4 linked regions of the Lepisosteus oculatus genome follow. The protein of the gene in region 4 interacts with the protein of the main gene of each other region in a biochemical or structural test. Links are inferred from orthologs where the notes say so. Each region holds a gene or a part of one and is shown on either strand. Other genes may lie near its edges. The genes, in order: usp10, maml1, numb and notch1b.

Region 1 (7,296 bases), on a different chromosome or scaffold from region 4:
CACCTCTAGAGGTAGGAATATATTTGAAGTTGTAGCAGCCACGAAGCCCACTGGATGGCACTGATTCATCATAACTCATTTCATCTGGAGGCACTGAGGGTCCCTGATGTGACCTGTGTTTAAAGTAAGTAACGATGAGCACTGAAGAGAAGAAAACAGGCCCGGCTCTTACCTCACCTGCTACTGCAGGAACAACAGAGCAATGGTAACCAAGTTATAATGTTTTCGTACACTTTATATACAGGAACTGGGCCAAAGCACTGTCGGACCAACAGATTTAGGATCTTTATAGAAAGTCCAGACACCTGGGAGGGGAGAGTTGTGGGTCAGGAAACAGACGAAAGGTTTACACCACCAGCTCCAGCCTCTGAGTGTAGACTCAGACCACTTCAGCCATCTTCAGAGTTTTCCCACTGTGGTTTTGTTTTGACACCTCAGGAAAAAAAGAGTGAATTTTCCGTTACCTTTCTTCCCTGTAGGAAGGAGGCTGGTCCCTTTGAAGTTGCGGCCCTCCGGAGCTGCGGGGATTCCTGTCCTCCCGTCTGTCAGGATAATCCCGGTCTCTCTTTTCCAGGTAGCTAGGATCCCTGTCATCCCAGTACTGCGGGTGTCTCTGGTCTCTGGCGTGCCGGTACCTCTCCCTCTGTCTGTCCATATCACGGCGAGTGCCACTTTCGCTCCTCGTCTTGCTCTGCGGCTCCTCATCTCTTCCAGGATTCCTCCCACCTCCCGGCATCTTATGATCTGTGAGTTCCGTGAATGTACTGTATGCCCTGTGGATCGATGAAGGGGCAGAGAACAGCTCAGAGAGAAAAACAAAAGTAACGCACCACTTATACAGTAGCTGCAACAGTCCCACAGTGGTAGCAGGAAAACGGCAAAATCATTTTCGTGGCAGGTGTGCCAACACTTAAGTGAGCAGCCAAGACACAGGTGAAGGATATCAATGTACCACAGTCAGTCATGACGGATGCTAAATCATAATTACGCCAGAATGCTTTAAGTAATATCCAAAAATACATATTATCCATGTTCTATACTATGTGTTTTTTTTAAAAAAACATGCAGAGAGTGATTTTTATACTCGCATATAAATATTACATAGTGCTGCAGTGCTGTGCAAATACTTTATTAAATGCTGATGCTTTTTAAAACTAACATGCTCATGCTTTGCCAAATTTAACAGGTCTTAGAGCTTAAAGTTAGTTGTGAGCTGCAGGGTAATATAGCCCACTGAAGCTCAGCAGGTACTGGCCAGTACCTGGATTGGACACCTCCGGGGAAAGCTAAGGCTGCTGCTGGAAGAGGGGTTAGTGGGGCCAGTAGGGTGCGCTCACACTGCAGTCTGTGTGGGTCCTAATGCCCCAGTATAGCGATGCTTACACTATACTGTAAAAAAGATGCTGTCCTTCAGATGAAACTTAAAACCAAGCCCCTGCCTCTCTGTGGTTGTTAAACATCCCAGGGAGTTTCTCGAGGAAAGTAGGGGTGTCACCCCCAATAACCTGGCTTAATTTCCCAGCGGCCTTTACCAATCACGGTCTCCTAATAATCCCCATGTTTGAACTGACTTTATCACACTGTTCTCCTCCTCACTGAGAAGTGGAAGTCCCAATTACCTGAAAAGAGCTTTGAGTGGCGTGTCCAGAAAGCGCTATGTAAATATAAGGATACTATTATTAAAGCAGCGTGTAGTTCTACTAGGTGAATACAAAGACTTTAAGCATAGTTCTTCGTAACTAAACGTAATCTACACATTGGACCATAATCATATGTAGTTCGAGTAGATAGCTGCGTCAGCATGCGTAGGATACAAAGAATAAGTAAAGATTTAGTCCATGCTGAAAAGAGATAAAAAGAAACAACGTTTCAAGATGTTGAGCCTCCTACAGGTGTGAAGGGTGACGTTTTCAGCGTGGAATAAACCTTTACTTGTTTCATTGCATAATCATAATATTCTTGTTAAAAGTGTCAAAGTAGGCAAAGAGTTACGCCTGCATCTAATAGGGTTAGTAACGAGTTTCACTGGTTTTGGCCACCATCACCCTGTATGTATATACAATTACTTTGCGATTTTTTATTTTGCGTATTTTATACTGATTTATGAGCACAGCTTACCCTCAGAAGTCAGCAAAAGAAGTTCCAGTGCTCCATCCCGGGCTGTGTTGTACAAATAGCTCCGGTTACCGAAACCCGGTTTGATGCGCCTCTCAGCCGAAACTGGTTGACCGGTCAGTAGTTTCCCAGTAATTCGCTAACCCTCGAAACAGGACTTGAGTTGAGAAATAACTCGTGTATCTTTCAGAGGTCAAATAAAGAAGTTGGAGGTCTTCAGTTCGACCTAAATGGTTTTCGGACTCAAGTTTTCAAGTCAGCATCACAAATACCACAACTTCCGAGTACGCAACATAACAAAGAAAGCGAGGTTTTGTGGTACTTTGTTTTATTTTTCGTCGTGTTGTTGACGAAACATGGACATATCTGCCTCGAGTGACCAGGTTAAATCCATCGACAGTGCACAACTATTGTATTTTGATGTTTCACATCCGCCATTAATTTTCAAGGTACACTTTGTGCGTAGCTCCGACACCACGATCCCACACACACATACACATACACACCTCATACCTGAGCTCACAGCTTGACTTCCCAAACGGAGAACCCCGCCTTTAAAAACTCGTTTTTAACTGGTCGCAGCGCGACTCACTGTTTTAGGAAGTAATTAGTATTTACTTTAAATAGCAAATATTTGATAAGGCAATATAAGAAGTATGTTAATCTACGTTCAATGTTGCAGAAACAGTTTTAATCGCTCTTGCAAATGGCATTATTAAACCTCTAGTTTTCACGATGGATTTCGATTTGATCATATTCGTGAGGTATAACTATAATTTTATGGCTACAGCTAATGAACAATGAATAAAAAACAATGAAAATGTAAACCGATAGGGTGTTCACAATTAAAAAAAAACTCTATAGAAACGTCTCTGTCTCGTCATCAAAACAGAAAATTCGGTTTTGACCACTAAATCGGTGTGGATCCAAACTGCATACATTTCCACAGAAAGAATCTCACAAAACATCAGAAAAAAATGGTCTTTAACCCCGTGATCTGCACAACTCATGAGGAAGCCAAACTGTGTGAACACATCCATTCCAGTTGCTGCTGGGAAAATTGAACTCACTGGTATTTTCAACTGCAGGAGCAGGACGCCTATCATGTAAAGGGGGGAAATCAGTTACTATTGTAGAATTTAAATCAAGTGATGTTACAATTGTACAATTCATTGTACGGTTATTGGTCACATTGCAAAACATTATTGCTGCTCTTGAGTCAGTCCAGAGAATGAAAAAGTCAAGTCTTGAGTAGAGCAGTACCAGATTCAGACATTCAAATTCTTAAAAGATGTTGATAAAGTCAGCCTATTGGACTTTTTCAGAATCGACAGTGAAAAAAAGACAGGATCACAAGTGGGAACTGCTAGGAAGGGTATTTGAAACCGAGGAATGGAGGCACGAATTTACACAAAGGGTTTCCCGTGGCACAATAACAGTTGTGTTGTTAATGCAGATACCCTAGCTTGCTTCAAGAAACGTTTGGATTAAATCTTGGCAGGAATTATCTACTAAAACATCAGCTAGCTTGGACCAGTCCCGCTAGCTTGTGGTCATTTTAGATTTCCTCTGTCATTTTAGGAAGAAATGATTGTTCCTGAATACAAAACATGCAGAGTCATGCATTAAAGACAAGTGTGCCATGTCTCCCCTTTCAATATATTTCCCAAACCGCGAGCGTGTACCCATGTGCTGTAGGTGTAAGGGGCCCTTTCGCCTCCGCTGGCGCTGGGCATGCGCAATGCGGTGCGCGTCCCCGCGTTTCTCCGCCTCCCACCCAGGGCGCACGCGCTCACCGCGGACTCAGTCAGGCTCTCAAGCGCGCGCAAGCCAGAAGCAAGGCGAGACAAAGATGGCGGCCATGGTGGGGTTAGCAGCGTGATGGGCAGGAGGAGGAGAATACAACCTTAACGTTATATACTCTAGATTAAAAAAAAAGAAACTACATTGAAAATGTCGCAGTAGAAATTGATTTGTTTTTAAGTCAAAGACCACATTTCAGCTCATCCCTGGAGAAGAGGAAGTTTATTTTCTTTTTTAATTGTAAAAAAAGAAAAGAAACTCGCCGGGAGCATGGCTTCACACAGCAGCCAGGTAAAAACTGTTCTTCACTCTGGTGTTCCGAGTCGTAGGTACTGCAGCGGGCCTCGGAGACGCCACGGCTCATGCTGGCATGCGTGTGAGTGCTTTGGCTGTTGCAAAGTGCAGCTTTGTCATTGAGAAGTGGGCGAAAAAAAAATTGCAAGGCGAGTTTCCCCGAGCACGGGATGCCTGCTTCCCCCATTGAAACCCCAGCATGGACGAGGCCCAGAGGCAGCCTCACTCATTCATAGACGAGAGCTCCCGAAGAGCGGGTTTAAGTCCTGCGCTCAGAAATCCGACCCGTGCCGCCGTGTCGACCCAGCCCCGGTTGCATCTCAACACGTGGATGTTTGCCCCACTCGGGTGGTTTTGCATTGCATTTCGAGATGGTTTAGCTGGCGTGCTCGGCCCAACCTGCACCGCAACAGGCCTCGGCGAGCTGAGAGCCGCTTTCTTCCGCGGTGTCAAACAGCGCGCTCGGGTAAAAGTCACCCTCGCCGTCAGTGAGTTGTGGTGCACGACCCGTTTTTGTCCTGACTGGGGGTTTCTCCCCCCCTCTGGAGTCGGTTTTTAATTCATTTAAAGTGTGAAACGGTGCATCCGCTGGTGGCATGCATTGGGCCTGTTGATCGGGGAGGGGGGGCGGTCTTGTTTTTCCGTGTTAGGAGACTCATCCAGTGTTGTATGAAGGAGAGCGCAACGGGACTTGCAATGGACATTTTTATAACTCGTTTGTCGCTCTTCAGTGCAAATGCACTTTACTTTGAAAAGGACGCCTGCGTAACGTGTTTGGGCCTGTTCATCATTTAGATTCTCATCGCAGCCTTGCCTCCACTGTTACCCTATGAAGCCGAAATAAATTTGAGGAGTAGCCGTAGATTTTGGGCCCCCTATCTTTTTTTCCCCTAAGGCGCAGAGACTATTCTAGCTGTGCTTTTATATTGTAAGAAAACGACACGAAAATCGGTGATCGGAGAGAAATTTAGAAGCATGCAGGAATAATGTGGAGTGCTGGCTAACTCTGGTGGGAATACCGGATGATAACTATACTCATGGTTTTCCTAGCTTTGGGAGAAGTAGCTGAAAGACCTTTAAGAAGTTTCGGTACCTGCGGTTTCTTAGGTTTGGTGGCGGAGCAGTCGTGGGTTGAAGGGTGAATTTGTGATAGCAGGCGGTCTTGAGAAGTAGAATTGTACCACAAAATGCTGATAGGTCGTAGACAACAAAGTGTAGGCATTTGAGTGTCCAGCGTAAGTTTGAGGAAAGCGTGTTTTTTTGGAATTGCTAGATGCAGGAAGCGGTGTGTACTTAAGCTCTCGGATACTTGCGAGTTTGGCGTGTATAATATAGCATGATTTTGATAGTGCAAGCTATTAATGTATCGTTCTTTCTCTTTCTTTTGCTTAGCTACATCTTCGCGTTTATAGTTTCAACTTGGGCAGCGCGTTACGAGGAGTTGTAACGGGAACATTGAAATTCAGCTGAATCATAGGCGCCCATCCCCCTACCAGGCAGCATTTTTATACTGAGACCACTGTGAGCTGCTCGACGTAGGAACACATTTGCATTGACTTTTTTTCAGTATCACGAGAAACGTACAGGTGGTTTAGTGTTTTTTTTTCTCTCCCGGCTTGAAAGCTGGGCGGTTTGTGCCGCTGAGGTGGTGTGTAGTGCTTTAAAACTTCAGAGTGCGGCTTCCATTCAGGACACTTGACACGTGATGCCGCTCAAGTTGTTGAAACTTACAAAAAGGGATGCATTGCTTTATTGTAAATCGTTTACGGAGGACGTAAAATCTTATTTTTGTTTACTGCAGTTTTAACTTGAGTTTAAATCGGTTGTCCTTAATTAGTATAAACCTAGCATGTTTCGCGTACTTAGTAATTGTGCCCAGACCGGTGGGGTGTTCAGTTTTCAGAGCACAGGGGGAATCCGTATTTAATATCAGTGAAGAGATCATGATGAGGTGTATTTGAAGAAAATGTGTAATACGTTTAAGATGTATAGATTCGGAACTACCAATGCACTTCAGAAAATCTGCATTGTTAAAAGCTTTGTGCATTTTCTGACTTTTCAAGGACACAGTATACCCCCGTGCGTGGATACTGTGGATGTTTCTTTTTAACTAGATGCTTTTGGTCATTTCCTGTACTTGCATCGGTTTGGCTATCAGGACATAAAGGAAAACGCTCTGTACGCTAACTTGATAGATATTATCTGCCTTTCGCTTTGCCAAGTTTAAAACAGCGAACGAGGTTGCCCTACCAGTTTTTGGAAGTTTTACCTCAGCAAAGAAATTTAAATTGTATAAATGCTCGTTTTGTATTCCAGCTTGCCTATGACATTTCTATTTGACTTACCTTTTATTTGCTGTATTTCTTTTTGATGTTAAAGAATGCTTATGGTCTTTAATTGCATGATGGTGTATACAGCATTATGCTACCAGACACCATGACAGTCCATGTGGATTGGGAAGACTTGCCTGGAGTTTAGAGCTTATCGTTGTAGTTCACACTGTCTGTTGTGGATTTGTTGTAGTGGATCGGTATGTTTTTCATTCAACTTTGCTGCTGTTGGCAGAGAGAGTCAAAGACAAAATATAGTAGTGTGCAAAATAGCTCAGTATTAAACTGATCATGGAACAAGTAATAGGTTTATTCCATGCTGAAAAAAAGAAGAAAGAGAACACAACGTTTCGGCCGTGGAGCCTTCTTCAGGTGTGAAGGCTCACACCTGAAGAAGGCTCCACGGCCGAAACGTTGTGTTCTCTTTCTTCTTTTTTTCAGCATGGAATAAACCTATTACTTGTTCCTTTGCAGCCTACGCATGCTGACGCAGCTACCCACCTGAACTTAAACTGATCATGCTATGCAAGGATGAGCCTGTGTTGCAAAAAATGTTTTGGGTTCTTTTTGGTGTTTAGATGACCTTTGTGACTGTGTGAAGCACAGACTAGTTGTGGGTTTGTTGTATATAATGGTCTTTTAGGGGTACCATTCTGAGTGCTGTACAATGACTGCACTTTGTGAATAGAAAAAAAATATTAGCCAGTCTTATGTTTTTCGTGCTATCCTATACAAACAGGTCATCACAAGTCAC
Region 2 (7,962 bases), on a different chromosome or scaffold from region 4:
TGAACACTACAATTACATTTTTTTGTATTGGATGAAAGTCAAGACATCAGATAATACCAAACCCCTGCACTAGGTTTCACATCTTAAGTTCCCCTGTTTGAGATGGATGAATCAATGAACACAGACTGGATTGTTTAACGTCTATTTAAAGGGGTGTTTCAGATGTATCGTCTAAAAATACTGCATATATTGAACCTGAGAACAGGGTTTGATATGTGAATTGAAATTGTGATCCGTTTCTTTGTGTTGGATCAAGTGTTCATTCAGGTCTGTATTTGTTAATTATAATAGCCCATTAAGGATACTTGCTCTGTTAATTTTACAGTCCAGAACTTTCTGTGGTAAATGTGGTCTTCCTTCTACTGTTCAGAGGCCTGTGATGGCTCAGACTAAAGGGAGTTCAATTGGGGGCCCTTAGGTTAGAAAATGCTGCCTTGTTATTCAAGAAGGCCAGGATTTCTGAATGAGTTCCTGAATGTAATGTGAGAGGATGTTTTTTTTTAATATATTACTTCTTGAGCATTTTTTATTTTTTAATTTTCATTTCCATCATTGTTAGTATTAGAATATTTTTAGTTAGATAAAATGGAGGGACAGTATACAGTCTATAAAGGAAAATAAAGTTTTGCATTCCTTAGATGAAAAGTCAGCAACTGGTGAATTAAACGCTTACATGCTGATGTGAATAGATGTTAAACCCAAGCGTTCAAACCTCAAATCTGTATGAAGAGCATACACTTGATCTGGGAGTTTCCAGGACTGTTCCGCCTCTGACATAAGGTACTACCCATTCCTACGTGAGTACTTTGGTGCACATCCTGTGATCTAATTTCCTGGCTATAAAAGGTGCCAACACAGAAGTGCCTGGTTGCTTTCTGAGTTTCAGGCATCAAGCCTATTTAATCCTGCATTTATTCGTGATGATAAACGCAGAGAAGAATCTGAAATGTTATCCTAAACCCCCAACACTTTATTCTCCAGAACAAGGTCACAGTTGTCTTGGTATAAGGGCTGCAGATTTTAAAGGGCTTTCAGTGCTTGCTCCTGGCCAGCTACTAAACACTTTTTTCTTCTGTCATGTCTTAACTGATTGCACTGACTTCAAAACTGAATAAAAGTTGCTCTTCTTATTTGCTGTATTACAAATGGAATTCCATTTTGTATACATTATGATAATGAATATTTTGATATTGGTTTTCCTGTAGGCAAAGTGCAGTATTTATTACTTTTAATGATGTTACTGATGAGCCATGATGTACTAACATCTACAGCATTCAGGGTATCAGCCTTTTGAATAGAAGGAGCAGGCCTTTACTTTGTACAGCTCGGGCTGCATTGCTGCATCTGATAATGGAAAGCTGTTTTGAAAAAGTCACGTTTTATTGAGAGATGGTCCAAAAATCTAAAATAAAAATACCAAGGATTGCTCTCAGTTTCATATTTATGGAATGCTAAACTTTGTTCTGGGGGAATTTAACAGCTTGAAGAAATAACATTTTAAAGAGTTATGATTGGCACACATTGTTGGCAGCATGTCATACGTCTGCTACTGTCCAAAGAAACCAATTATCCCACTGCACAAAAATAAAATAATTTGACATGAAGAGATGTAGGGGTGGCTGAACTTCTTTGGCTATTTTTCATTCCAAGTAGTTCTTCTGAGAACCGATGGTGTTCACATGGAGATATTGAGGACATCAGTACCACCAGCTCTTCAACCGAAAGAGCTACAGACTAAAATCATTCTGACATGGTGTTTTGTTACTTTCATTAATTTATTTTTAATAACCAAGTTCAGATCAATTTGATGGCCTAAGCTTTCTATTTCTCCATCAACCTGTTTCTTTTCTTCCAAGTCAGTTTGATAGGATTGGGAGAGTCCAGGCATATCTAAAAGTTATAAAAACATCTGGATTGGTGAAAAGCTCTTGGTAAAAAAACAAAACCAAGGTGAGGTTCCCCCCCCCCCCCCCCTTGTTCTAGAAATATGGTTTACTATTTTAAAGTGGTCATGTATTTCAGTTCCTATTTCTAAAGCCTAACCTTGATTCATCCACTCTTTCATAGATGTGTGCTGTTCCTCACGGAGTTTCTGTGGAATTATGGAACGTCGGTTACCAGTTCCTAACACATTAATCATGCACCAAATAGAATAATAGATGGAATTTTGAGATAAAATATTGTACAATAAATTTGAGTTTGGGCTATTACCATTTTGTTTTTGTCTCCACAAAATTCATAATTTCTTCAGAGTTGATGTCTTTTTATTTGGTGGGACACTTAAATGCAGTTGTATAAATGGATCTGTGGAATGTTTTGCAGAGAAATAAAACATTGATGGATGCGGTTTGTTTCATTTGTTTGAAAGATGGGGCTCCTCATTACTATGGTATTCTTTTTTTTTCTGGAGCCTTTGTTGACATGGATTCTAGAAACAAGGATTTTTTTCGATTGAAAGACGTTCTCTTTGAAGGCCAGTGCTATCTCTGTTTTAGTATGGCAGGTGTCTACTAACTACTAAACAGGAAGAGGAAGTACAAAATTCTCACTCTGAATACATATTGGCAACTTATAGTGTATGTCAAGTGGTAGTTGAGAGAGTAAATGAATAAATCCTTTTTCTTAATTCTTTTATGTTTTGTATATTTTAATGGTGTTGAAACCTAAGGGTTAATGTTAATTTCTAGGGCTCCACAAAAAATAGATCTTTATTATGTTCAGTGCCTTAAGTAAGGTCCAGATTAAATTGATTGATCTACCCACCTTAAATTAGAGACTTGTTCTTAGTGGCATCTGTGTGTACCAGAAGGCCCTCAATGCTTAACAAAACTGGTGCCTAGAAGTAAATAAACAGTAGCAATGAGAGGGTCTGGTTTCTTTTAAAACTGCAGGACGAGCTGGAGTACCAACCTAACCCTAAATATACTATAAATGTAATAAAGTTATAATGAAAAAATGTAAACAAAGACCTTTAACCTGTTTTGTGGGGAAGGTATGAAAAACTTTTTTCTTAACGATTCTTTGTAAAAGGACAATTGAGTCACTAGCACTCCAGTTTCTAACTGCCACATGAGGTGAACCGATTTCAACTATTGTTGAACAAATTTGAATTGCATAATGATTTTATATAATTTCAGGTCATGTTAGGGCATCCCTAAAGCAGAGAATGAGTCAGATCTTTTTTTGTGATTTCCCAGCATTAATGAAGTGGGATTGATGTGAAAGGCTTTCATTGTGGTGCCCGTGCTAGTGCAGGCACATGACATTTAAAAATGCCAAGCTGCCTTGTCATGGTTTTGTACTTTTGAAGAGCAGCCTTTGCAAAACAACTCATGAAGTAGATTACTGTGTGTGACTGCATGCGATTATAAAAAAGAGGAGCAGAGAACGTCAGTTTAACATATACATTTTGAACATGACACCATTGCCACAGTTACGCGCCTCTTTACAGAAGTGATCTATTGTAAATACTCCAGCAAATAAGAAATTGTTTGAAAAGGTGCTTCTCTAAGAGAAAGAGACCCTTTCCATCCAGCACTTAAGTGTAGTACCTACCTTGGTAACATCTTTGCAGGTAATTTCATTGGTGGTACAGCAATTCCACTCTAAAGCTCATAAGGAGAAGTGAGAAATCGCTTCACCAGTTGAATAAAGGGGAGCTGTAAATAGGTCAAATTGGATAAACCCAAAGAGAAGCAGCCATGATATTGGGATTACCCTGACCCCCTTACTCTCATGAATAGTGCCTTAGGGTCTTTAGGAAGTCTGTTATTGTTCCACTTTAAAGTTGGCACTTTTCCGTAGCACAGTGTCCTGAGTTACCATCCCTGGGCAATAGTTTTGTCAATTCTGGCCAAATGGTAGAGTGTCCCCTACTGGTCACCCAGCACCACTAATAGTAATAGCAACCTGGTTTTTCCTTGGAGTCCTTCCACCATTGACTAGGCTTAGGTTTGCTTAGCTTCTGAGGTCTTGCAGTTGGTAATACAACTGTCACATAAGATGGCACAGTCCCATGGGTATCCTTATCCAGGTACCAAGAGGCTTGGCTCAAATTTCAAGTTCAAATAATGGTCTTGGAAGATTAATAACTTATGGTATAAATATAATGTGGTGTGTAGACGTCTGAGCCAATAAAATACCACTTATGTTTGATCTGTTTTGTTTGCTATTGAATACTTTATCTGAAATGGAAAAGGTCCAAGGGGCATATTTATGTACCATTTGTTCCATAATTTTGCCAATTCAACAGTTCCAGTCCGTTAGCAAAATTAAACGTACGGAATCTGCCACAAGCGTTTAAAAATCGTTTTGGAGAAACCCAAAAAAATATCCAGAAGGAAACTCACTTTGTCTTCTATACAGCGCTTTTAGTTCACGGTGCTTAACAAAAAATTAACCAAGAGTTAGGAAAAGAAAAAAGATAATCGACTCAACACTTTCCTACACTAAAACATATCGGATGATGTTATTTAAGTTATGTAATTGTTATAATCATTGTGGATAACTCGTGTGGTGTAATTAGGTGTGATTTTCAGGTCTCTGTACTGTTTGAAAAACATAAACGAGCGCTTTATGAGTCGTATCATGTGCTCTGTGAGAAAATTAATAAAAGTTTGGCGTCTTTCCACACCACTCACTAAAAACACACCTCTCTTAAAAAGATGTCGTCCAAGCGTGCTTAATCATAGCTTTTTGAACGAAGTTTACGCACAGTGAAGGAAACCAGGGCTTTCCATTGCTTGTGGCTGCTGTCAATCGCTGAGAAGGGGTGGGGAGTGGAAACGACAGTCGTGACGCAGTGTGATGCGAAGAGGAAAAAATAGAAAAAAAGGGGAAAAAAAACTTGTTTCAAAATGGCGTCGGAAAGCTGCAAGTCCATTGGAAAACAATAGAGATACAGAAGGGAGGAAGAGTTTGTTTGGCATTCTGTTTCTTAGTGTAAAAAATACCTTCGGATATCAAACATTGAGGGCTCGGGATTCCGGTGGGTTTGGGGTGTCTTTTACCCTTTTCTGATACTCCTACATTTGTCAAAATGAAGAGCACGCTTTGTTATTATATATACTACATCCGTAGGTAGCCTGCTAGTGGGCAACTAAACGAAAATATAAAGATCAGCGGATAAGTTCGGGGGGAAAAGTTGCTTTTGTGGTCAATTGTTTTTTGGAGGGGGGGATGTAACTTTTTGTGAAGTTCACTTTTCCTGTGTAAATGTTTGCCTCTTTTATCATTCAGCATGCGAGCGACGTTGTTTAAAAAATAATATTGACTTAACGTTTCATGCTGCGTTTTAAGTTAGGATTTTGTCCATCCGTCCGGTTTTTTCCACGCCAAGGCGACGTCGGGCGGACTTACGTAGAAAGAAGTATGTAAAGTTAAAATAACTGCCAGGAGAATCTTAACTTCTTCGGTGAAGTTATTTCGGAGAAGAGGTTGCTCTTCGTATGTTTCTGTGCAGTTGAACTTCTTTGTCGCGAATGCTGTTTCACGTCACTTTTTCGGATTCACTTTTAAAATAGTTTCAGATATGCTGTTGTAACCCTCCTGCCTTTTGTTAGGGGTGAAGTTGTGGAAATTAACGGTTGGTTTTCAGCTACTACAGTAAACCGCCGAGATTTAACTTCCAAACTTTATGAATATTATTTAAAGCCTCACTTTCGTCTTTTTTTAAACGCGGTCGTTATAATGTAACCTCATCAAATGTAAGCTTCGCGTTTGCGAAATTGCACTAGACCGGTTGTCTGCCTCCGGAATATAACTTTATTATGTTATGTATTAGTGCCAGATCATGTTAAAGATAGCGCTCTGAATTGCTTTTTGGCATGCGTTCTCTATTGTTATGATAGTTTAGGGAGCAAGTCGAGAAACATGGAAAGACGAAGGCAGCGGTAGTGATGTTTTTGTGAAGGAAAAAAGGGGTGGTGGAATAACGCCCACGCATTTTTAGGCGCACCTTCGGAACTGATTTTATTTGTATCCCCCAATACCTCTGGGAAATCCGAGCCCCTTGAATTGTAATCGATCATTTTACATGCCCGTTGATGATGGCGGATTTCGTGGTGCCGCGGCACAGCGCCGTGATGGAGCGGCTCAGGCGGCGCATCGAGCTCTTCAGGCTGCATCACAGCAGCTGCGAGAGCCGCTACGACAACACGGCGATGGAGCGGCTGGAGATCGAGCGCCAGCACACCTTCACCTTGCACCAGCGCTGCCTGCAGACTAAGGCCAAGCGGGCGAGCAAGCACAGACAGGCGCAGCCGGCGTCTGACCAGGCGGGACTCAGGGGGGCTGGCACCGGGGGTAGCAGCACTGAGATGACGGACGGCGGCCCCGGAGAGCAGAGCCGGAACAGCACTCTGATTGCGGTAAGCGCGCTTGAGTTGTGATGCTGTGTTGCCTGGTTTTGCATTTCGATTTGCTTTTCCAGGGGATGCTTGAAAGCTAAATGCCCGTTAATGAACTTTCAACTTTGTGTTGGAGATATGAAGCACTCAAGCCACAGACCGAGTTTTGCTTCATCTAAGAGGAATGCTCTGTGCATCTGGGGGGAAGAAACCCCCCCCATCTGGACTGACCTCTGAACTCCAGCAGTTTGGGGAGTATTTGGCACTTTGCCACTTATAACGCTGCTGTAATTCCATTAAAATCTGGGCGAATATGATGACTCCTTTTATGAAGTCATACCGTGCGAGTTTAAACATGTTCTTAAACTGATGTCATTCTGATTTCATGAAACCCAGTTTGGTATGACAGTGTAGTGAAATAAAATGTCACCATGTAGACTTCTTTAAGGTAGGGGGCATAGACTGAAGTCTAGTGAGACTTTAACTAAAGGCCAGTCTTAGCTGTGTGGCTGATTGAAAAGGTTATCTAGCTTAACTTGTGATGCAGAAAAAAAAGTTACTCAATGTGTTTTTAAGACATTTCGAGTTTTTGCTTTTGGGTACTGCTGTCTATGAAGGAAAGCAGGAGAAGTGACCTCAGTGATGGGTGTTATTGCATTACCCCCTCATAACGCTAGTTATAGGTTCTGTATTTGCAGTATACTGATGTTAAATCTGGACCCCCTATTGTCTGCTGATTGTGCCGAAAACAAGTGATGGCTATTGACATATCCAAACTCTGACAGTCACTTCATAAATGCACAGAAAACAAATGTGGTCTGTAGGTGATCAGTAGGTTTTGGATGATTAATTCCATATCTGAATATTCTAGCACCACCAATGTAAAATCAACTTTTACCTGTGTGGTAGTAGTTCAAGAACATGTTCAGGTGGGTAGCTGTGTCAGGATGTGTAGTCTGCAAAGGAACAAGTAATAGGTTTATTCCATGCTGAAAAGAGAAGAGAGAAAACTCAACGTTTCGGCTGTGAAGTCTTCTTCAGGTGTTTAAGAACATGTTGTGCTCCTTTAATATGTAAGCAGTAACACTGGTTAGAAAAATATCAAATAGCATCCATAAATAGTCAATGCAAAATGTTTTCTGAATTTAATGTCTCCAGATACAAATACATTTTATCAAAACAGCTTTTCCCTCAAGGGCCTTCACAGCTTTTACTTGCAATTTTTTTTTTAGTTTCACAACAACTTGTGTAATGATGAAACTGGGAGTGCTGTATATTTGCAGGGAGAGTCGTGTCATTCGTCTTTGCTCAATAGCATGCATGTTGTAAAAACTCAGTGTAGATTCTTACCTACAAGGGATCACAATTTGTCAGTTAAACAGTGCTTTTTCTTTTTATACCAGGGTTATTTAGTTAGACTTGTAGGCCACCCCAAATAAGCATTTGTTCTTCCAAAGGAACAAGTTTTCAGAAAAGAAAGGAAATGCAGCGTTTTGGCTATGGGGTCTCCTTCGGGTATTTGTTTTTCAAATATGGGAGCTGAAGGGCTTTAAGATGGGGGAAAAATTGATTTGACAGTTACTTATGTGCTGGATAGTTCCATACCAGGATTGGA
Region 3 (7,578 bases), on a different chromosome or scaffold from region 4:
CAGAAGTATTTCTGACAGAGGTTATGGTTCTGAAACTTGCAATTAATAACATTTGTCTGTAATAACATTTAAACAAGAGAAGGAGTAATAACCTATAAAATCATGTTCCCTTCTTTTCAATTTGCTGCAGGATCTCTTTCCAACTACACCTGTCTGCTCTGAAATAGTTCTGACAAAGAAATGGAGAAAAGAAAACATCAGTTCAACCAGTCACACATTAGACTTCCCATTGCACACACTCCACCTTCTCCAAAAACATCTGAGGACCGCCATTCTCCGGCCTTTAACCAACAGCCATAAACAACTTCTAGATCTTCACTGCCTTGTAACGGGTCTTGAATTTGACTGCTAAAGATCCACCTCAAACACCCCTTCTGTAGAACTGTAGGCAAACATTTACATAATCTTAAACCAAAACAACATCAACATGGAATGTGGTTCAGCAAAAAATGCTGCTTGACATGGAAACAAATAACATACTAAGATTACAGACAGACAGATTCAAGAGATTGGCCCCACACACTGCAGTTCTGAACACACAGGCCTTCATCAAAATCTATGCTCAGTCACACAAAGAAACTGCCTCTAATTTCAATCTCTGGACCCTCTGCTGGATCAGGAGGATCAGCAGATATCAGACCATAAAAGACAGAACTAATTTGCCCTCTTTACCGTTAAATGGAACTGGAAGGTTAATGAACACATGCCTTTCATTGCTATTTGTTCAGTTTCAGAAAAATCAGAGCAACATTTCACAAAATAAAGCAAAAGAAAATGCCTGAAAACATCCTTTACAAAATCAAGACTAGACATAGGCTCCCAGGTGGCCTGAGAAGAACAAGAACTTTGGCAGACACTGAAACCAGGCTTGTACACGACTGGGCACAGAGGGCCTGTCACTGGCAGGGGCTGTGCCCATCCCATGACTCTCACACAGTAGCTAACTTCCTGAGGAAGCAATCCACCTGGGCTGGTGGTATTCCCAGCCCAACACAGACCACCCACAGCCCACCCAGAGCTGCGCTCACGTTCCAACAAAGGTGAACCGCACTACAGAAACAGAACCCATTTTCTTCTCATTCCCCACGTAAGCCCTTTACCCACAGGAGCGCAGGAAAACTTTGGAAGAAACTCTTGCCCCTGGCCGCTTTTTAAAATAGGTTAACTTAAGCCTTTGACTTCAGACAGCTCACGCAGTACGGCAGCCAAGTTAATGAAGGACATGCGTATGTGTGTCACCTGGCTCTGGTACAGTTCAGGTCCTGGGAACTCCACTGTGAGTAGGGCTCACCAGCTTTTTACTTCTCCAGTTGGGAGACATAAAGGGACAGAGGCACTTTTGTAAGTTCAGTCACATTTATGGAAAATGAAAATGTTGAAAAATAAAAACCACAGGAAGGCTCCCCCCCTCCTAATAAAAAACACAAGCTGATCGAGTGTGCGCTTTCGACTCTCAAACAGAACAGCGTGTGGGAAGCCACAACTCAATGAGAAAGTGCCCCAGGGGACAGGGGGCAGTTCCTGTCCCTTCCACCACTGAAACGGTAGCAAGTCCTCATCCAGAGCATGAGCTGCCAATTCCTTCACAAAGCAGGCAGTGTTGGGAAACATCAGAGCTCTGCAAACAGGCATCTCTGTTAAAAAACACTTCAGGAAACAAGAGATGATCGGATATTTGTACATTTTTTGTGTAAAAAATGAGCTGTGGTACTTACAATTAAGTATTCTGCGCTACAAGGCTGCGGCCTCAAACCAGGATATGGTGCAGAAAAGTTCTGGACCAACAAAGAAGATAAACAGGCTGCCCAGCCGTGTTGTTGAAGCTGAAACCCTGTCTTCTTTACATAAACAATAGATCCCTAGATTAATTAAGATGGGTTCCTCTCGTTTGTAACCTTTATAAAAGACCTCTGACGGTACAAGGATGTGTGCTTTTATCCATGTGTGCTTTGGCGAGAATGCGGTTCCACCTCCGGTGCTCTGTGGGACAGAGAAGCCCAGTGGTTAACCTGTCCAGGACGTTTTGGGTTAATAGGTTACTGACTATCCGAGCTGAGGAAGGGACACAGATTCCTTCCGATTTCCTTCAATCCGCAAATCACGAACAGAAACTGCATCTTCCAAAGAGGAAGACAGCTGAACCATGTTGAAGTATCCAAAGAATTAAATACCTTAGCCCGTCACATGAGACCGTTCTGCATACTGCTGACGTTAGATCCCTAGAAATATGTGATTCAAACCGCACACGAGTAATGCTCGCGTTTTTTTTTTCCTGTGTATGCGTCTGGTTCTTTTCCGCACGATACCGGCCACTTCTGCTGTGCCTGACCTTCACAGTCTCACTGGCAGAGCGGTAGACTATAGAACAGTTTATTGAGATTGATCAATCTAACTCCTCCATCAAAGCTGTTTAAATCCGCCCCTGAAAACGTAAACTGTTAACAGAAAACACAAGTCAGCGGACAGCCGGGCATGCACAGGTGCCGATACGCCCAGCAAACCCGCAGAAGGCAAAATCACAAGACGCCCCGTTTCGTGACAGTTTTTAATTTAAGCAGCTAGACTCGCTGCAGCTACCGGTCCAGGGTTCGTACACTCGCTAGGACCGACTGACACAACGGCTTTGCTTTACATACACTAGTGTCGCACATTATGTTAACGTGTTAAGCCTTTACAGAATTACAAGACATTCTGAGACACGAAATCCGTAAAAAACGAAATGACTGCGTGAGTCATTTTTGAGAAGTAATATTCTGATAGCATGGCATCTGGCAGGACTTCACACTACATGCTGTACACTGGGTGACAAGTGAAATTCACCCAAGTCCCAGAGCGAACAAGTAACTACGGCGCTACCAGAACCGCACGGCATACGACTGAAGTAGCCAACAACAAAATCATTAAAAAACAGGAAACTGTCAGGGAATGGACTTACCTTGACACCAGCTCCAGACAGGAAAGGTGTAAAAGTGCTTACTGGCACTGGTTTAGCTTCCTAGCAGCACGAAAAACGACCAATACAATGTAAATTCCCAGAAGAACAGGGAAGGAAAACTGAGCCGACACCTCCAATCCAGCGAAAGCCAGCCGACTCACCTGCTCGCTAACCAGCCGCCGGCTCAACCTAACCTCACCCCTAGCAACGGCCCGCCTTCCATCGACTCCGATTGCAGCAACCCTTGAGTCTGGAGGCGGGAGCTAACTCCCTCGGTTGTCCGAACGGACTTCCAATCAGCAGTAGAGGAGGCGTGTCCGAAGGCTCAAGGAGTACATGTACAGGCTAAATCGAATGCATGTCAAGACTATCGCTCCGCCTTCATTTCATAGCGGAAGATGGAGCACCCAATCATTCACCTGGGTCTGCTCGTTTGCGCACTATGTGCCTACCCATCCCCATAATTTCCCCGCCCATTTTCTTCATCCCTCTTCAGAGCTGTTCAGTTTTCTGTGGAAAGCAGATGATTTGCGCATGCTTGGGTAGAGGTTACAGATCTCGTTATACGTCAAGAAAGCGTCGGTTGGTTGTTTAACCCCAGCTGTTCTGGTTTCTGAAGCTGCAGATAACTTAGGCTTTAGGCACCGGCGTGCTGTAAATACAGTGTATCTGGCTGTACTGACAGTTTTAAACTGTCGACGGGGAGTCTCACTGATTTTTTTTTAAATAAGTAACACTAGCTGTATATTGCACATCCAGTACAGTGCGGGGGCACTGTGAATACTTAATACTTTGCGAATACATACAAAATGTTCCAGAATACAACAGATAAGTGTAAAAATATACTTTTTTCCAAGGTCTCGACCTTATAGGCAGATGATAACACGAAGTAATAAAAGGAAACAATGAGCAGAAATATCACTTTAATGCATATTTAATTTTCACAAGAACAGCGCAAAGCTGACACAAGCTAAATATTATACCAGTCATGAGTATATCGAAGTCTAGTCTGTCAGGATCAACCCTGTTTTTAAATAAAGCAGTTTACTGGGAACATTGCCAGTGTCTTGCAACACACCAGACAGTAGTCTCACGTTTAACAGAGGTCTTGGGTGTTTTGGATGAGTAGAAATATGCAAGAGATAAGGTTTAAAATCACTGTCCATAGTCTGGTTTGCAGCACCTGACTGGAAGCTGCTTAGTTTGTATGAATAGAAACAAAACCCAGTACTTCTTTGTAAGTCTGCATGTCTCAATGCAGAGAAAACTAGCATGAGGCATATTTCATCACACATTTTCTTGTTTTTGATTTTTTAATTTGCAGGGTGAGGTAGGCATCAGAATAACATGACTGCAGCATGCAGCATCTGACCCTTCTTAGAACAAATGGTGTCTAAAAAGTGACTTTATTTGTTTTACTTTCACAAACCCGTTAGGACATTTACGCATTAAACAGCAGCTAAGTCCAGAACAGAAATGCTTTTTCAAATCCTATACATGGTGTTTTCAAAAGCACTTGACATACAGGGAAATACTAGTGTGTCTAACAGTTAACATTTTAATGAGCTAACACGGAGATTCCTGTTATACTGTGGCACATCCCAGGGGAAAACTAAACTACCCACTGAACACGCAACTGGTGACATGCATTCCTAGCATGCCTAACTGTGAAGATCCTATCAATGTCACTCAGAGGGAGAATGAATGTTTTGCATGCCGATAGTCAATGGCACATTTTCAAAATATACTAACAAAGCTGTCTGGCCTGTTGAACACATTACATTCTGTTTAGTGACTGACCGAGGGGAAAACTTGTAGTTATTACCGGGAGTAAAAGCTTGGAGAGAGCTTCCCAGCCTTTCCTCCATGTAAGAGATACAATCACTTTATTGGTCATACTGTATACAATTTCTTGTATTAGGAATTTGTATCTTTTCATATACCCCCACTTGCTCTCCACACAGGCAGGGAGAGAAGCTTGGGGTCAGAGCAAAGGGTCAGCCATTTACATGGCACCCCTGGAACAGTTGGGGTGAAGAGCCTTGCTCAGGGGCCCAACAGAGTAGGATGCCTCTGTCAGCTACAGGATTTGAACTAGTAACCTTCCAGCCACAGGCACAGATTCTTAGCCACAGAGCCACCACACCAGCCCATGTGTGCGCTTCAGAAGTGTCTGTTGATGAGATGTGTTGTGAAGGCTCTTGCGGAAATCCAGGATTAAGTTAATGGTAACCCAAACAGCCAATAGAAGAGGAAAAAGTAAAAACAACTGATCAGCAGCCACACCCAATTTGAAGCATGGTTATAGGGCTGAGTATTTGAAGGGTAGCATGAAAAGCAAATTCTGGCTGGTGCTGGGAGTGGAATTTGAGGGCCAGTAAACAAGGAATTTTCTACAGAAATCCCTAGCCAATGACCCTATGTGGTGATCCCTGCTCTTACCCTGGGCAATAAAGACCCATGGGAACATTGCTCATGGAACATGGAGGAGGATCATAATTGGTAGAGTGGGCAAATCTTCAAGTCTTCAGGTCTCTGTACCTTGATCAGGGCTAAGGGCTGTTATTTGTTATCCTCTCACACTCCAGTACTCAGATGCTGGTTCTGCTGGGATTTTGTAGTTTGATTCTTGGTTGAGATACAAACGTGCTTCATCCTATAAGTGCAGTCTGTGGTTTGTGAAGACCAACAAACATAACTTGGCACTGTAACAGGAGATACCCTGCTGGCTAGACATGACATTTCTCTATCATGTGTGTGCATAATGTATGTACTATGTGCTACCAAAAATCTACTCTTTTAATCAGACAGCTTAATTGTACACTAGCTCAGAATGGTTAATAATAAGTTCAATGTTTTCTCTAAAATATGCAATACATATTAAAAAACACTGCAGGAAACTACAGAAAATGTCCACTACTACTTTACACAGAGCAGTGGCTGTAAAATAGAGGTGGAGATGCGCTCATATTTCTGTCTGCACAGCCCTGTCTGCCTCTGTCATCTGCTGAATGATAAAATAAGCTTAGGCTCTATGATAAGAACTTTGTCTACTGTCTCAGAAAGCTGTGAGAAATGATGTCATTTCTAAACAGTTAAGTAACTTCTGAAATCTATCATTTTGGAACGAATGTATACAGTTGTGTCATTTTGTAAAGCCAGAGTCTCTTTTGCTGATAGCTAATCAGTTCACATACAAATGAAACGGAAACAGAGAGTGTACAAAGCATTAGTGAAAGAAATCGAAGATGGCAAAATTGCAGGAAGGTGCATTTTCAAGCGTTGGTCTGCATTAACCGAAAGACTTAAAAGTGAAAGACTGCACGTGCACCGGTCGGGGATGATTTATTTCACCTCACTATTTCTACTTGCATTCGTTTCCTGTTTTCACTGGAGTGTGGTAGAGCACTGCTCTGTCCAAAGAGAAAACAAACATTTTTAAAAAAACCTAAAGGTTACAAGGAGATCTTCAAATAATAGAAGCTCAAGACAAGGAATCCCCAGGACACCGGCCAGTTGATACTGAGCTGTGTTCCTCTCCCCTTCAGCCCCTGCCTGTACCATGACCTCCTGGTCCCCTGTCACTGAAGAATGCTAGATAAAGTGTGTTGGCATGCAGATGCACTTGAGCTGTGCCAAGCTGCTAGCCTGGGAGCAATTTGAATATGTGGTCAAATGCTCTGCCTGCTCTGCAAAGCACTCCCTAAAGCATCTTGTCTAGCTAGCCTTTCACAGCAGGTGACAGAGAAAGGCACATTTAGAGGAGCCCATAAGGGCTGTAATATCCCTCCAATACTGGGTCATGCAGATGCTCTTTATAGGCTAGGGAGGGAGTCGAGCCCGAGCCATTAAATCTATCCTGTGGGTCTAGAATGAAACTGTACTGCACACAGGAGTTGAAATGAAATACGCCTTAAAATTGGCTAATTTTAAAACATTTTGCAATTTTAAACTCACAAAAAGCCAATATGAGTTTCTGTTTAAATTGCCTTAAGAATGCAGCTACTAGTGTCATTTGGCACAGACCTCTAGATCTACCAATGGTGGCTCCAGTGAAGTAAGAAGGAAGACAGCAGGATGACAACTGTTGTGACTGTACAAAGGCCTGAACTTTTAGTGGGTTCTGGGATAGAGTCATAGATTTTGCAGTTTCCTCTCATTCCTGCCTCTGCCCACTCTGATGGAGCAAAAGAGCATTATAGCATAAAAGCAATCACCCCTGAAGAAGTGGTTAAAATTTGTGCCTCTCTTTGCAAGGATTAAGAGCGCTTCTACATACTGTAAACAAAGAGGCACCTACATTCCAGCTGCTCTGGTCACCCAGAATCACAGGCCTGAGGGATTTATTCTTCACTTCCAAATGTGTCCTGGGAAATATATTCATATATTCATGTGCACTAATTAAGCATAAAATAATTGGTCCATTGGAAATCTAATTTCTAAATCACTTCATTTAGCTCCACAGGATCCAAGAGAACTCGTCTTTCTTTCTGTGCTCTAAAACCAAATGATTTCAATTTCGGCCTCTTGCCAAGATCAAGATTAATGGACGGAGAAAGAAAGGAACAAGTTTTAGTTGTTCTCTGAGTTTGCAGTTCGTTTACCCTGTATTTCCAATGTGAGTTATTTTGTTACTTGAAGGG
Region 4 (7,772 bases):
GACCTGTCACCTGTCCCACAACTCATAAAATGAATCTGGAAAAGGACTGTGTTCCTTAAAACGGCCCTAGTCTTCCTTTTGTTTCCAATACAGTGGAGAGTTGTATATCCTATGGAGGCCTCTATATGCTGTTATTCTGGAGGCTTCCTTCGTACTTCCAAACAGCATAATATGATTGTTGATTTGTTTTGGTTTAATTTTATTTAAATATTTAGAGATCTGAGTAAAGGTGACCCTCTTGTTTTCTGGAATTCGGTTTGTTTTATGACAAAAATTACTTTGCTCTGTGCAATCCTATTACAATTACAGCAATAACATAATTAGAATTTATAAAGAGACATATTATACAATCCTTAACTCATTCAGCTATATGATGTTTTTTAATATGTCTGGAGGGCACTGTCAATGTGTTGGTTTACTGTTATAATTTTTAATTAAAAATAGTTTTAAAGAACACACCTACACAGAAGTAATATAGAATTTTGGTTGGTTTATTAGTGATTGTAACACCAGACCTATACTTTGGAGGATTTGTGCAGCTTCATATTGAATGAAAGGGATTCTACAACTAAATTGTTTTCTGCCAGTTAACACTAACTGTCTAATGTAAAGAGAATTATCACCATAAAAGTTACTGTTTGTTTTAGTGTACAGATGAAAAACTGTGTTGGTGTTCTTAACGTGGAATATAAATTTATCAGTAGGCAATTGTTCATTTTTTTCTCCTCTGTTCAGTTCTGTACAAATATGAATGCTGTGTTGGCAGCTGTGTGTTTCAGCAAAATAAGTCCTGTGATAAACTGAGATTAGTGGGTTAAGGGAGACAACGCTAACAGCACACATCCTTTCACAGGTGAATAGTATCGCTAGTGGACATCTGCCAGAATGCATCTGTGTGGGGGATTTTTCTACTTTTTTCCACACCCACTAGGTTTATGTTACAGGGCGTTAGCTGGGTTGGTCTGCACTGAAGTCACCTGTGGGTGACTACTTCACAAAGAGCAAAAAATAAATGAGAAAGCTTAGGGATCAGAGCAGCGTTCTAGATCTGCTATAGTCAAAGTCACACTCTGTATGTTCTTTCAAAACGGTCATTCTTGTAAATATTCTCTTACAAGCCTTGCTGTTCCACAGACGTTCTGCCTATAAAATGGTACATTTATAACTAGAGCATTTATCCACAAGAGTTGTCTTTCAAAGTTATTAACAATGCAATATGCCGTTGGCACTCAGCAGCCCTGCCAATAAAAAGCCAAGTCTTGAAGGGTTTTGGAGTTAATATATGCCAAATGTTTGGGATATATTGTGATTATGACAACAATAAAATGTATATATCATTTAAGTGTATGGGGGTGTTTCCACATGTCCTCACAGTGCTGTACTTCATTAACTCTCTCTCTCACCACTACCACCTCCACAATTTTTTTACCTTTTTTTTCTGGCCCCAGGTCAAAGATTCTCCTTAAGAGGCTGTTCCCACACTTCCAGCGTTTGTTACCTGCTTTTTCTTGGCCAGGGTTTAGTTCAGCTGTCAACGCAAAAATATGGCTATGCAAAATTAAGCTTTGCCTGGAGGCGCAGAAACTGGAGATAACATTTCACCTTGTGGTTCCCACCTTACTCCCGAAAGAAAGGCACAAATTTCCATACAATACGTTCAACTTTTCGTGTACTGTAAACATGTTTTATATAACTAGGGGCGTCATCATTTTTTCCCCTCATCTTAGACTTTAATGAAAATCTAAATGCCCTAAAACCTAAACCACAAAATCACACAAGCCAGGAGTTTCACAAAGAAACCAGTGCATTGTACTGAGTGAGCAACAACATTTCAAGACTGCAGCAACTGATGTTTTTTCATCTTTAACCTACATAGGAAAGTATAGAAGGAAAGTTGAAGTAAAGGTTATCTACTAATTTATTGTTAGAAAAACAATTGGAGGATTTGACATTTGTAGAATTAAATGTTTTTATGATTTTTTTTATTATAACATTGCGTCTATGCAAAATTAACATCTCTTGTTTTTATCAGACATTTGTCTGAAGATCTTTTAATTTGATTTACATGCACTTTGATTGTTTCAAGGTTAGTGTTTCTGATACCATTGGTAGAAGAACTGTAGGTTGTTCTATTAGGCAGGTGGGAGAATACACTCATTTATTGTTAGCCTTTGACTACATATTTGTGTTACATGTGAATTAATGTCTCCACATACAGACATTTTTCTTCTTCATATCAGACATGGCAATTAGTGGGACTGCAGTCATAACAATTGGGGCTTCACTTCAGTGATTGATAGAGTGGGTACATTCTTATTTGAAAAGAGGTTTGGGATACTTTTGAATGAAAAGTGCTAAATAAATTATTATTAGTTGCAGTAGCAATAGAAATAGTGGTAGTAGCAGTAGAAGTATTTATGCAAGTGCTCGGTGCATTAGATTAAAAAATGATTAGTTTAAGAAAATAACCTAAGGATGATCTATAGGTTTATATGGAAATGTTCTCTATGCAATAGGTTTCTATAGATTTCTTTTAACAAGGAGAAAGGTGTGAACGTGTCTCCCTCCTGTTTTCCCCCTTCATTCAATCACTATCCGAAAGTGAGTGAAAGTGATAACAGTATAAAACCACCTTCTCACACTTTCCACTTACCATGTGTATAACAGAAAAAAAGCCATAGTTTAAATCACAGATGAAGATAATTTGTAGTCAATGTGCTTTTAATTCTTGCTTTTACTGTCTTCGATCCTAGATAAAAGAAGGAAGACCTTTTACTGCAGGAGATAAACCCAAAATCTCTTTCGGACAGGTCATTGGGTGCAGCACTTGAACCTATTCTTTGGAAGATCCTTTGTGTAAATATCCATGCATAAAGATATAAACAAGGAAGTGTCATCAGATATAGTTGCTGTAGCTCAAGACTAATGTGAAACGGTTAATGTCAGCATATAGTTATCTCTTTGTGTTTTTTGTTGGTGTTTTCAGCTTTCCATGCTGGTGAAACACTGTGAGATATTTATCAGTGTGTAATTTTATTCCATTGAGGCAGCACAGAACAACAGAGAAACCTCAAATGATTAAACTGTTTTGTTTTATGTTGTTATATAACCTGTAAGGCCTGTAAATTGTAATGGGCATAATTCTACCATAAAGGAGCAAGTAATAGGTATATTCCAAAAACAATAGTGCAGTCCATTGGCAGGCCAATCTTTCTTACACCTGAAGAAGGCTCCACAGCCAAAACATTGTGTTTTCTTTCTTTTCTTTTCAGCATGGAATAAACCTATTGTTCCTTTGCAGCCTACACATGCTGACACAGCTACCCACCTGAAATCATGCTACTATATTTTTTTCTTTGGAGGCGAATTATTGTAACATTAAATTTGGTTTATATAATAAAAAACACAGATCTGAGATGGACTGGAGAATCTCAGACAGTCATTTTTTAAAGTCTCCCAGGTCATAACTTTAAACAGCAAGGTTGGGAAACTTGTTTCAGACTCCCACAACCCTTGGTGTAAAGACGTGTCTCCTGTCTTAAAATATACTTCCCCGTAGGTTTCTTCTAGTGTCCGCCTGTTTTTGTTTTTGACAAACATTAGGCTGGCTTTCATTCTTCTGCGTCATAACTATATTGCGGTAGACCCTGTTGTAATAAATTGTAAACTTGTGACCCCAAAGTTCTCAAGCCATATTAACAATGTCCCCGCCCCTCTCAAAATACAAAAATAAATTGGATATTATATATAAATAAAGCGATAAAGAATGTTAAAAGATAAGGCTCCCGTTCGAAATATGAAACTGTTTGCCAAGATACCATAATCGTTTTAATCTCAACCCAAATATATACAATATTCCTAAAAAAAAGAAACCCACCAAAGAATGAACAATGTTTGGATAAAACCGACTATATTTTTTTTATTTACAGCTAATGTGGTCTTAAGAAAAGGTTATTTTTATACATTCATCAGGATTTTAGGTGGAATATCATTTGGATAAATACTGTTTACAACAACACGCCTGTCACATGTTTTATTTTTCAAATTTTTCTTTGTTTTGCCTTTTTATTTGAAAAAATGTATCGTTTCCATAAACAAAAAAGTGCATCAGCACACACTGAAAAGGACGGAAACTGGCGCGGGACTTTTTTTTTTTGTTCTAGGGAAAAGAAACAAATTAACTCATTTTCAAGCGATGTCGTGAATTCAATAACCGGCGAGACTTTTGAATATTCTGTCCGGGCGTCTGAAGTGAGAAGACTGCTGTGTTCTTCAGACTTTCTCCCAGCAAGCGACAGACAGCAGCCGAACCCAGACCGGCGCTCTACCAGCAACCCTTCAATTGATTTGTAAATTAGGCAGAAGTCTTCCGCCTTTCACAAACTTTCCGTACTAACCCCAAGTGCTGTACTACAGTAGTGCTCTGCCGCATAGTTCCGATTCTAAAACACTTCAGCAAAACGTGAGTGGACGTCAATGTTTAATTTCAAACTGCTCTGCGTAGCAAACGCAAGGTGGTTTTAAAGAGGGGGCGTGTTTTTCCCACTGTTCCTCGAGCAAGTGCTCTGGGAGCGAGAAGTAATTTGGGAGAGGTACCTGCGCGGAAGGATAACGCCCCTGATTGCCAAGTGGAGACTGCAGAAAGCCAAGTCGCATATAGAAGTCTGAAGCCGAGGAGAGCACATCACACGCACGGAGTACGTAGGGACATTTGGGAGTGAGAGGTTTTTGGATCTATTTATTGAGGATATTTGATGTGCATTAAAACTCTTGGCAAAAGAAGAAGAAAAGAACCTCTGGATCTATGCTAACCTTACGTGGGATTATTAAGGATCTGTAAAGCAGAAGAGAAGGAATGCATCATTTCTTTGTGAAACTAATATTTCTGATTTCATTGACTGGTTTAACACGAGGTGAGTTAACATGTTTCGCATTCAGTAGAGCCCGTTTATTATTTAGTCGTTTAACAGTGACTGTATTCCCAGTCTCTCGCAGAAGCATGGGATTGAAGACGTTATTTTTTTCTTCGCACTTTTAAATATGACTTGGGGGACTTTATAATTAGGACTAATAGTGATGGGAATTCCGGTCTAAGTGGTCGAAGTCAAGAGTATTGCACTCATTCTGTGTCGCGGTGTTATTTTAACTGAAGGGGGGAAAAATCCAGCAGTCAAGTCTAAAACACTTGTTGCGTGTTCTCAGCCTGCGACGCATCTTGCTAGCTAAATAGCATCAGTTGCTAATCCACTGGAACAGAAAGTGAATTATTGTGAATATAACCCTTTTTGGAACCTTAATATCGCGTGCGTGACCTTTTCAGGAGTTTATTTACTCTTGTGTCAAAATTAGAATGACTATATTCTTTATAGTGCCACTGAATTTCATTTTCTAATCTTCATTTTCACCTCCTTTTGCTTGTCATACACCTCTTAAAATGCTGAGATACCGTAACACGTAATTTGTCGAGTTTGATGTAGATTGTGGAGTACTTTTTGTCCGATTTATGTTCGCTCTTCAGATATTTTTGTTCCTCGCAAACATCGCGGAAGTTTAACAAAATGACACCAGGCTTCAATCGATCGTATTGAGGCATGCGAGTAACTTTTCTGTGATTTTATTTTCGGTTTCGCGGTCTCAGTTTTAATAATTGTTATCTTACAGGCGAGCGTGTGAAAGTTTTTTTTTTTCTCTTAAGTTACATTTGTGTCCAAATGAGTCACTCCCTTGTTCTGAACTAAATCATTTTCGAAAGGTATTAGTTTTTTTTCGCCCCTACGTGTTGCTTGGGTATTCCTTAGTGTTGTTTCACAGTATATTATTAATATCATAAACGATCATTATTTTCGACTGAGAACAGTGATAACGTACAGTACACTGCAACTCCAACCTTGTATGCATTATATTTTGACAGTATTACGCATACTTAATACATAACTGTCCTTTGATACTGTAGCATTTAAGCTTGGTGTTTGATGAGGGTATTAATCCAGTGTTTTTTTTTATTGAGAGGCAGGGGGGCAAGGCGTTCGTGTGCTCTAAGATTGTATCTAACGCAAGTGGAGGCGGAGGCTCAGCATTGATCGTACCCCGCATTAAACAAGACAACAGGAGGCTTTTTTAGCTGCCACAGTGCTGGACTCTGATTTCTTCTTTTGTTAAGGGTCCGGAGAGTCCTTGCTCCGCAGCTGTTGCGTTTTTCCCACGGGCTTGCACGTCACGCACTCTCCTAAATACACAATTCAGCTCACTACCCCAGGGGCGATTGTGCTGCCCCCCGCACATTGTACAAAGTCCTTGCTACTAGTAAACCATAACTGGGCATTGCACTGCGCCCGTCAGCCTAGACGCAGAAAAGCGTTTTCTCCGTATTTCTGTCCTGTTTTGCTAAGCAGTCTACATAAGGACACTCTTTTCTGCGTGTCGCATGCAGTTGCAATACCCTTATCCACCTGCAGAGCGGCCCAAGCGTTGTCCATACACATGCACCTGGTTTGTACTGTATTCAACTTTTGCCCTGTGCGCAGAAGTTTGGCAGACTTTCGCAGTGAGCAAGAATAGCCTTTGAAAGTAACACCTTGGATTTCATTTAGCTTTCAGCTTGGCACTACAGTTTACTTCAGCTCTGCAAAACACATGACTTTAAAGTGAACATGCCTGTGTCGTCCGCGAAGTTGCAACCTGGGGTGTCACTGTGTCGTACTATTAATTAATCGTGCTGCTGATGTCCACTTTTCCCCAGTGTTTCACTGTGGTTTATGGGGAAAATAACTGCCAGATTGAATACATAGTGAAGAATCTCATCCCATGTCTCCTGACATCTCTTGCGGCGACTTTTGAACTTCAATAAAATAAAGCGAGAGAAAGGCCGTTCAAGTTGCGATGTTTGTGCTTGCAGGTCTGAGATGCACGCTACCCGCTGAGACATGTTTGAATGGAGGGAGGTGCGAAACCGCTTCTGATGGATCAGGAGAATGCAGGTAAGCGCTCGCTTGTACCGGCGAATCTGATCGCAACGTCAAGACCGGAGCCCCGAAGTGTGACGATATCGTAAAAATCTCCAAAATTATTCTCCTTATATTGTTTTTTTTCTTTTGTCTTTTGTTTTAGTGACATTGCTTCGGTGTTGTCTGTCTAACATTTTCCCTCCCCAGCGCGCACACACACACCAAAAAAAAAAACTTTGGCAAATTAATCAGGCCCATGAGCAATTTCGTGGACAAAAGCAAGCTTTTCCCGCAGCCTCTAATGAATGCAGGACACTTCTCCAGCAGAAGTCTCATAGACGCTTGAAGCTCTAACTCTTGTTTTTCTTTTCTTTCATGGGGCGACAGCTGGGATTCGGTCGCAACTCGGTAGCTATTGTTAAAAAGGCAGATTAATGCTGTGTGACTAATCATTGTGTGGCTTCTCAGAATGCGAGTTCCCCTCTCGGCCCCGACCCCAACCCCCCCCCCCCCCTACACACACTCCCCCTGCCTCCGTCCCTCCCCCCCTTTTTTGAATGGAAGATCTCTCTGTGATTTACATTATAAGCCCAGATGGCTGTGAAATGTAATTAAATTGTATGTGACTGGAACTGATTCAAAGACATAAATGAAACCAAACAAGTGCAGTGGGCAAATTATGCAACTAAAAGTATTTGCCCAGGGTAAAGTCTTGGTCATCTGTTATGAGCTTTTATTTTTTTCCTTGATCAACTAAACATGTACAGCTCCCATCTCAGGCTCAGAGCTCCTCTGACAGGCACCAGTGGAAAATCTTCTTCCCAAGTA

The links.
Region 1: the proteins of notch1b (region 4) and usp10 form a complex in vitro, tested with the Homo sapiens proteins (2 studies listed by BioGRID, with this or other methods). The link is inferred for Lepisosteus oculatus from reciprocal best matches to the Homo sapiens genes NOTCH1 and USP10.
Region 2: the proteins of notch1b (region 4) and maml1 form a complex in vitro, tested with the Homo sapiens proteins (2 studies listed by BioGRID). The link is inferred for Lepisosteus oculatus from reciprocal best matches to the Homo sapiens genes NOTCH1 and MAML1.
Region 3: the proteins of notch1b (region 4) and numb form a complex in vitro, tested with the Homo sapiens proteins (2 studies listed by BioGRID). The link is inferred for Lepisosteus oculatus from reciprocal best matches to the Homo sapiens genes NOTCH1 and NUMB.

The regions. Positions count from the first base shown.
Region 1 is NC_090715.1:10,018,374-10,025,669, forward strand, and holds the start of usp10 (ubiquitin carboxyl-terminal hydrolase 10), read left to right. Parts: upstream 1-3,940; 5' UTR 3,941-4,188; coding exon 4,189-4,209; intron 4,210-7,296. Other genes in the region: marveld3 (MARVEL domain-containing protein 3), read right to left, coding at 4-113, 465-736. UniProt on the Homo sapiens protein: Hydrolase that can remove conjugated ubiquitin from target proteins such as p53/TP53, RPS2/us5, RPS3/us3, RPS10/eS10, BECN1, SNX3 and CFTR.
Region 2 is NC_090706.1:33,847,264-33,855,225, reverse strand, and holds the start of maml1 (mastermind-like protein 1), read left to right. Parts: upstream 1-4,828; 5' UTR 4,829-6,044; coding exon 6,045-6,368; intron 6,369-7,962. UniProt on the Homo sapiens protein: Acts as a transcriptional coactivator for NOTCH proteins. Has been shown to amplify NOTCH-induced transcription of HES1. Enhances phosphorylation and proteolytic turnover of the NOTCH intracellular domain in the nucleus through interaction with CDK8.
Region 3 is NC_090703.1:20,408,975-20,416,552, reverse strand, and holds the start of numb (protein numb homolog), read right to left. Parts: upstream 3,146-7,578; 5' UTR 3,097-3,145; intron 3,091-3,096; exon of another isoform or gene 2,936-3,090; intron 1-2,935. UniProt on the Homo sapiens protein: Regulates clathrin-mediated receptor endocytosis. Plays a role in the process of neurogenesis.
Region 4 is NC_090719.1:5,185,275-5,193,046, reverse strand, and holds the start of notch1b (neurogenic locus notch homolog protein 1b), read left to right. Parts: upstream 1-4,579; 5' UTR 4,580-4,855; coding exon 4,856-4,913; intron 4,914-6,895; coding exon 6,896-6,977; intron 6,978-7,772. UniProt on the Homo sapiens protein: Functions as a receptor for membrane-bound ligands Jagged-1 (JAG1), Jagged-2 (JAG2) and Delta-1 (DLL1) to regulate cell-fate determination.